Linked DNA regions of Callithrix jacchus. The protein of the gene in region 2 interacts with the protein of the main gene of each other region in a pairwise test. Links are inferred from orthologs where the notes say so. Each region holds a gene or a part of one and is shown on either strand. Other genes may lie near its edges.

The links.
Region 1: the proteins of POMP (region 2) and PSMB7 interact in binary tests that used the Homo sapiens proteins (3 or more experiments, as listed by UniProt). The link is inferred for Callithrix jacchus from reciprocal best matches to the Homo sapiens genes POMP and PSMB7.

The regions. Positions count from the first base shown.
Region 1 is NC_133502.1:172,977,817-172,981,627, reverse strand, and holds part of PSMB7 (proteasome subunit beta type-7), read left to right. Parts: intron 1-2,623; coding exon 2,624-2,775; intron 2,776-3,811. UniProt on the Homo sapiens protein: Component of the 20S core proteasome complex involved in the proteolytic degradation of most intracellular proteins. This complex plays numerous essential roles within the cell by associating with different regulatory particles.
Region 2 is NC_133506.1:147,825,356-147,829,821, forward strand, and holds the start of POMP (proteasome maturation protein), read left to right. Parts: upstream 1-1,444; coding exon 1,445-1,447; coding exon of another isoform or gene 1,448-1,580; exon of another isoform or gene 1,581-1,828; intron 1,829-4,466. Other genes in the region: uncharacterized protein LOC128932219, read right to left, coding at 1,230-1,580. UniProt on the Homo sapiens protein: Molecular chaperone essential for the assembly of standard proteasomes and immunoproteasomes. Degraded after completion of proteasome maturation. Mediates the association of 20S preproteasome with the endoplasmic reticulum.

The DNA.
Region 1 (3,811 bases), on a different chromosome or scaffold from region 2:
TGGTGCTGTGGCCTTCTGGCTCTGGGACCTGGGGGCTTGTCGTCCTATTTTTTGTTCACCAGCTGTTTGACCTTGTGTAAGTCACTGACTCAGCCAGAGTTTCTGACGATACCAACATCAAAAGATGGGTGGGGGCAGGGATACACATGATGATCAGCAAAGTGCCCAGCTCAGTGCTTGGCACATAAGAGTGCTGACAGATGTTGATTGATTGATTTAGTGGGCATATAGGTGCTCCGTAAATGTAAGTTTCATTCCATCTCCTAACATCTTCAGCCATATGAATATGAGACACGGATGGGATTGGAGGGGGGAAAGTGAGAGACTTGAGATTGTCTTCCTTTAGGAATGATCTTCCTTAGAATTGGTGGGGAGGAAAGGAATTTAAAAGATTTATTTCCCTAATTAAAAAAAAAGCCTTTATTTATACTTAAATAACAGCATACATGATAATTTTATGAGTAAATGAAACTATATAATTTTAAAATTTGCATATTTTAAAGCTTTATCAGTTACTTACAGACTGTTTGCAAAGTAGAGGGAAGATCACTCGTAATCTTACATGGCACTGTCAGCAGTCTGGTATCCTGTGCCCAGTCGAATCAGTTGACATTAGCTATGCATGTCTCATGTCATTTGTGTATTTCTGCTTCCCCCAAGTCTTCACCCTTCCCCTTCTACCCAGATCATTTGGAAAATGTAAATGTGCAGTCCTAAGTGCTGCCTGCAGGATTGTGATGTCCGCCAGGTACTGTTGGCCGGCTCTAGACCCCAGCAGCAGTGATGAGATGAAAACAAAGCAGGGGAAATAGTCAAGTGGTAGAGAAGAGAAGAGGGGAGCAGAAGTGGGAGGCCAGGAACAGGGGACCAGTATGGTGTTCCCAGCACGTGCCCATGTGCGCACACACCTAAGGCCATTTAATAAAGGAAGCAGTTTGGAATGAGGTTGCAATTTGCTGAATTAGTGGTTGGCTTTTGCTGTCTAGATAGCAGCTGCCGCCAGCTCCTCATCTAAGAGGCTTCCTTTGCTACCACCTTCACTGGTTTCCGGAAGCCTTCTGGTCCCATAGACTGTTGAGAATTCCTAATTAGCAGATCCTGTTTGAATGTATTCTTACAGGTCTGCATATGTACACATTGGCCTCATTGGCCCCACACAGGTGTCACACGGAAGTGAAAAAGCCTGGGGAATAAATATCAAAGGAACCCCTAGCTGCTGGTTTGCTGAGGAGTTCACTTCCAGCGGAACCTTCTCTGTCCTTCTCTGAGTCTGTAGAGGGCGCTTATGTCACTGGAATACTAGTCTGTTGTGGGGCAGGCAGAGAAGGGCAGGAGTCCCGAGTGGGTTCAGATCTTCTCAAAACTTGAGATTAGCGGATCTGCCCTTTGAGGGTCTTGGGCTGGAATTTGGGCCTGGATCAGGGTTTCTACAAGCTTAGATGAGCGCTGTAGTGCACCTTGCATGTTTGTGTACTGTCATGCCCTCGTGGACTGGGAGGGAGCCGTAGTACATGTTAGATTCCCTGCTTTCAGGGAGCCTGCTTCATTTTTGTCCTCGTTGTGCACAGAGCTTGAACTTGGTGTTCCCCAAGTCCGGTGCCATTGCCTTCGCTGCCTGCCTTCTGTTTCACTGCTGTTTCCTGAGTGCCTCATGTGCAGCCTGCCCTTCAGCCTTCCCTGAAGCTCTGCTGACCAGCTTGTTCCCAGCTCCTCCTCACATGCTCTTAGCCAGCCTCACCCTGCATTGCACTTGCTTGGGTCAGATGCCCCTGCTGGACTCTGAGCCCCTAGAGGGCAGGGATTTGGGGGTCTCATCCACCTCTGTAGCCCTAGCTCCTAGTATAGGACCTAGCATGTGATAAGCCTTCTTGGATAAGAAAGGGATGAATCCATCTGTTCACCAGTAACTGTTAGGGGTGGGGATTTGTGCTTAAAGGCAGAGCAAAGGAGAAAGTGTTTCAAAGTAATGAATTACTTCAGTAGACTTGTAGAGGCCCCCTTAGGAGAGACAGATTCTTTTGGGCAAGAGGTCCCGCCTTTGGTCTGCCAGCATTTCACCAGATCTGCTGTTGTGTTTTGGTGTTAGTCCCCGCCCCCCACAAAATAATGCTGACTTTCCCCATTGTGTTACCAGGAAGTAACTTCCAGCTGTTGTGGATGTTCTTGATCAGGGCTTAGTTAGTAAATTGCAGTCTGCTGCCTGTTGCTCATAGTGTCAGATTGGATCACAGTTGCACCCCTTTGTTGATGTATTTGTGTGTGGCTGTTTTGTGCTAGCATGGCAGAGTTGAGTGGGTGTGGTAGAGACTATGCCTACAAAGCCTAAAATATTTACTCCCTGGCCCTTTACAAGATCAGTTCCTAGCCCTCAGTTCTGCTGTGTGGTGACTGTCCGATGTGGTGGAGACGCAGTGCGTACATAACGAGTTTTAAGGCCCGGGCCAGGAACTTCGGGCACATCATCGAGGTACTTTGAGATCTTTTACTCATCTGTGAAATGGGCATTAAAAGCAACACCTACCTCTCAGGAGGTCTCGCCCGCTGCTAGTAGAAGCATGTTGTGGATGTCAGAGCAGGCCCTGGTTCAGCTATGGACGTCATTGCTGCCGTTCTGTTTTCTCAGGAGGAGGAAGCCAAGAAACTGGTGAGCGAAGCCATTGCTGCTGGCATCTTCAATGACCTGGGCTCTGGAAGCAACATTGATCTCTGTGTCATCAGCAAGAGCAAGCTGGATTTTCTCCGCCCATACACAGTGCCCAACAAGAAGGGGACCAGGTGAGTGAAGGAGACAAAGTTCTTTCTGGGTCCCCTGGCTTCGTGGCCACCCTTGGTATCTCCATGGCATCTGGATGGAGTTTTCTTGGTTCTTCCCATGTTAAGTACATCCAGTGTTCCCAAATCAGCCTCCCACAGAGAACTTTGGCTCATTACTTGCTTTATGACAGTGGGGTGCTGTCAGGTGTAGGAGAGTGATTTAATTTGATGGGAGGGGTGGAGGGTGGCCCAGGAAAGAGCCCTAGGCTGGGAAGTGCAATAGAGAGGTTTGGATCATCTGCTGCCCTTTCTCACGTGTCTTAAGAATCCCCTGAATTCTGTGAGAAGGTACATTTTTCACAGCAGCCTCAGCACTTTCCCTCAGAGTGCTCCGAGATTCCTAACTGGGTGTAAGCAGTGCTAACAGACTCCCAGTGGTGGCCTGGAGCTAATGTGTGTCTGCTGTGCTACTGGGAGTTGTGCCATTTAGCCTGTGCTACATGCTGAGTGGGCCCCTTGGATCAGTGGTACAGCTCAGACTCACTGGTGGGAGAGGTTCTAGTTGATCTGCTGAACAGAGCTGGAAGTTTTCCAAACCTGGTGGCTGTCATGTGTCAGAGGAGCAGCTCGTTTGCAGTGTTTCATGATCATCCAGCTGCTTGACCGTCCTATGGCTCCTACCTCTTCTGGGACCCCAAGCAGCTCAGGATGAGCTCCCTGAGCGCTGCTTCCGGCTGTACCCATCTGAGTGCAGCACAGGGTATTTATATACTACTGCTCCCACCCAGCCCCATGGCTAGCCCAGAGGATAGTGAGCATCACCTTCTGCAGGCTTGCTTTCATCTCCCACTGCACACTCAACTCCAAATCAGGAGTAATTCACAAGGAAAGAACAGAACATTCAGAACCAGCAGGTATTCACCGTGGTCTGCATTCAACCCTGCGGAAGCTCAGTGGGCCCTTGGTGGAGTGGGGCAGCACGGTGCCAGAGAGCTCGGGCACTGGGGTTGGGGAATGTTGGTGGCTGGCGGGGTGGCTTCCAGCAAATCAGTCTCCC
Region 2 (4,466 bases):
ACTCCAACTCAAATCTCAGGATTAAACATGGCTATTTTGAAGGACCAGAAGACAACTAAAGGACAGCAGGGCAGAAAACTTACCATCTGGAACTTCGAAGCTGTATGACCATGGCAGTGGATATATGGCCTTACCGTTTCCCTCTCTCAAATCCTTGGACGGCTTTTTATAGACAAAGCCTCATCCTTAATCTTGCCTACAAAGGCTGCATAAAAAAACCTGTAGCTAGGTTCCATGATACATGCCTGTAGTTCCAACTACTCTGGAGGCTGCAGCAGAATTGCTTGGGCAACATAGCTAATCCCATCATTATTTAAAACAAACAAAAACGACAGCAAAAACCACTTGCCTCCATCTACTTACAACCTCATCTCACAGTACTCTGCACTTTCTGAACTTAGGCTGACTTAGATATTCTTTCCAATTCCGTTTTTGCACAAGCAGATCTGCCCATCATGTTATTAAATACCTTACTAGCCCAAACTAGTTTGCTCTTATCCTTTGGCTATCAGACCGAAGATTCCTTAAGATGTCTCCATCCTGTGGTAGCAGACCATAAAGCCGTTTTACTACATTATATTTGGACAACAATACAGTATAGTGTTATGACCATAGATTCTAGACTCAGGCTGGGTCCTTAGGCATATTGAACCCCTTCATGTCTTGGTTTCTTCACCTGTGAATTGTATTCGTAAGGTTATTGAAAAGATTAAAGGAGATAAAGCATGTAAGCACTTAGAACTGTGCTGATACGCAGTTCAAAGAGCCCAGCATACGTCGGTCATGATCATATTTACTCAATTCGTAGTCACTATCCTTCGTTCCCTCCCCCTCCAGCCCCCGGAGTACCCCTGCTCCTCTAGCCCAGAGGCCATGCCAGCCTGGTCCTTTTTTGTATTCCTAGCCTAAGCACAGAGTTGTGAACATAGCAGGCCTTCGATATTATGTTTTTTAAAAAACGACAAAAGCCTTGTGTCCCACTTTTACTTTATTAGCCGAACGATCTCAAGCAAATCACTCAAATCCCCTAGGCCTCGTTTATCCTTCTGTGAGATATAATAGCTACCTCCGAGAGGTTTTGTGTTAAATAAAGCGATGTACCAAAAGAAGCACGTTGCACATCTTAAAATGCCGTACAAACTGTAGATGTTTATTAATAAACCGGAGTCCGTGTCTTCCCTCCCCTCAGGCACGTCTTGTCCCGACCCCGCTCTCCCCGCAGCCCACACCCTTACTGCGCCCTTGGCCCGCGGTCCCTCGGGATTGCAAGCGTGGGAGCTTCGACCTGGGGCAGCTCCCTCCGGCGTCCCGCGCCCTCCTTCCTTCCTCGCCCGGACGGACGCACTTCCGGCGGATGTGGGGGGGCAGTCCCTGGAAACGGAAGTGAGCGGCGGGGTCGACTGACGGTAACGGGGCACAGAGGCTTTTAGCAGAGCTGCTGAAGATGGTGAGTGAGTACTCGGGCGGCCAGAGTTCCACGCGGGCTCGGGATCGTGGCTCGGCAGAAACAAGCAGTCGCCTCCCAGCCCGTCCCCGGGTGGCGGCGGCAACCTGGGGATGAGGCCGGCCTCGGGAGCCATAATCTGTCGAGTCACGGGGTTTGGGTGGGTCGTGGCTGTCGCCGGGTCCCGGCTCCGGCACTGGTCCCACGAGCAGCGGTTCGGCTTCGTCCTGCTCCTCTTAGCTCGGTTTGCTCCCTTCCACCCCTTATCCCCTAGCAGGCCCAGACCTCCTCCCCTTACTTGGTGCAGACGTGGAAACTACAAACCCGAAAGTGCAGCGTCCTCTAGGGTGGCGCCGCCGACCCTTTCCTTGAAGGGTAACCTCTGGGAGCCCAGAGTGCTCAGACTCCTCATCTCCCCCAGTCCCCGCCCTTGTAACTGTCTGGTAACCACCCCACAACTATAGGTCGCATTTGTGTAACGCAGCTTTGCTCTACAAACGTTTTTGAGAGCTTGTTGTGTGCTAGGTGTTAGAAGGCGATAAAGTCAGACGGTTGCTATTCCCCGTTTGTCAGTATTGTTAGTACATCTCCTCCCTCCGTCTATCTTCACTCCCTCTCTTCTTCCCGCCCTCTCCTCTCTACCACTTTCTCTTTCTCTTTCTTTTTAACTTAAAAGTTGTGATATTTGAGAAGAATCCTGAGTCACCATTGCCACAGACTCTGGTACAGATACTGTTGGTAGGCCATCCATCCAAATCTAGAAAGCTTCTGTTGGTAAATACTGCTAATCATTGTTAAAAAAACGTTTTATGGACACTCCCAAATGTAACTAGTAGTTAGGTTTTTGTAGATTTGCCTTTCTCGGCTGCTTTCTTTATTAGAAACATTAAGTTCTAATCCTGATATTTTACAGAAGGAAATTGGAAAAAATAATGATAACAGAATCTAGAAGTCAGAATTCACTTTTTCCTTGTGCATTGAAACCTTCTGTCACTTTACGATAAAACAGCCCAGAAGTAGGAGAAGGTTGGTATAGGGAAGTAATAGAAGCCACGTTTGGAAAGAACAATCACACAGCTCTACCAAAGGTCCCCAACCTGTGGTGATTCAACAGTTTTCTGACTTTATGATGGTGTGAAATCCATACATAGTCAGTAGATGCCACACTTGAGTACCCACACAGCCATTCTGTTTCTCACTTTCAGTGCAGTATTCAATAAATGACAAGGAATTCAATATTTTTTAATAAAGTAGGCTTTGTGTTAGATGATTTTGCCCAACTGTAGGCTAGTGTAAGTGTTCTGAGCACGTTTAAGGTAGGCTAGACTAAGACCTGATGTTTAGTAGGTTCGGTGTGTTAAATATATTTTTGACTTTTGACATTTTCAATTAAATATGGTTCATTGGGAAGTAACCCCATCATAAGTCAAGGCGCATTTGTAGTCCTGGGGTTCAGCTCCTTGGTGCAGATGAGTAAACAAGGCCAGAGAGGTTGGTGCTTTGCTGGCAGTCACAAAGTAGGTTAGTGACAGTCTACGCTAAAGTCCAGATTCTTTTCCTCGTCCACCATGACGACTTGTATGTAGGGGAGTTGGAACCTGTTATGCAGGTTCTTTAGGTCCAGGCTAAGGACTCTGAACTTTAGGCTTCAGACATTGATGAACCAACAAAGATTTTATAGCAGTTTTGTTGGAGGAGTTTCGTGCTTGAGGAAATCCTTGATATGCAGAACTGGAAAATGGGTGAGTCTAAGGCAGCAAGATCCAGTAGAATGCTGTGGAAGTTATCCATGCCTAAGAGGCTGGGCTAGAATGGTATAGTGAAGAAACCCTGGAAAGGATAAAATATCTGACCAAATCAAATATATAAACGAATTAAGAAACCAGTGAAAAAGCTGACTTCTCAAAATATTTTCTCCTACAATAATACAACATTTGATAGCAAACTGCCTGTAGCTGTTTTACATTTTTTCTGCAGAATCACAGGGGTATTGGACTTGAGCAACAAGTGATTTAAAGTTAGCATCTTGGGGTGACTCACACCTATAATTCCAGCACTTTGGGGGCACTGAGGCAGGAGGATCACTTGAGCACAGGAGTTTGAGACCAGCCTGGCCAGTGTAATTGAGACCTTATCTCCACAAAAAAATGTAAAAAATTAGCCAGGTGTGGTGTTGCACGCCTGTAGTCCCAGCCACTAGAGAGGCTGAGGTGGGAGGATTGCTTGAGCCCAGGAGGTTTAAGCTACAGTTAGCCCTGATTGCTCCACTGCATTCTAGCCAGGATGACAGAGCAAGACCCCACCTGAAGAAGTAAATAAATAAATAAATAAAGTTAGCATCTCGTTCTTTACTTGTTGAAGCACAATGTTTTATTTGCTTGATATATTTTCATAAGATGAAGCTCTGGGAGGTATACATGTATATTCAGTATCTAGCAGAGTACCTGACACATAATAGATGGCTAATAAATATCTGGTGATTGCGCATTTCACAGTATAAATGTGTAGGGTAATAATACACCAATACCAAAGGCACTGTCTTTTTTGTTTTGGCATATACTATCCTGATTAAATACACATAGTTTTTATGGGTAGTTCCATCTTTATTTAGAAACCAAACACTTTCTGAAATTCCCTTTTCTTCCCAGCTTCTGTGACTACTTTTATTTAGCCATCCTGTCTATTCTTAATCCCATTTCTTTGTTGTTCTTCCTTGTCCTCAAGGAATGGTATTCCTGAGGATTCTGTCCTCAACTTTTTTATTCGGTGTTAAACATTCTAACCTAAAGGAGAAGTTTTTCCAGTAAAAACAAATTCAATCATGCCATAACCTTTCAGAGGCTGTCAGTTTTGGAATAAAACCCAAATATCTTTGCATGTAAGACGTTTCGCTTTTGTATTTCTCCAGCCTTTACTTCTGCCTCACTGAAAACATGTATTTAGCCAGTCATCTCCAACTACCTGAAGCTTGTTCATTTATCTTTTCATGCCTTTTTCATGTGATTTTTTCCTGGAATGCCTT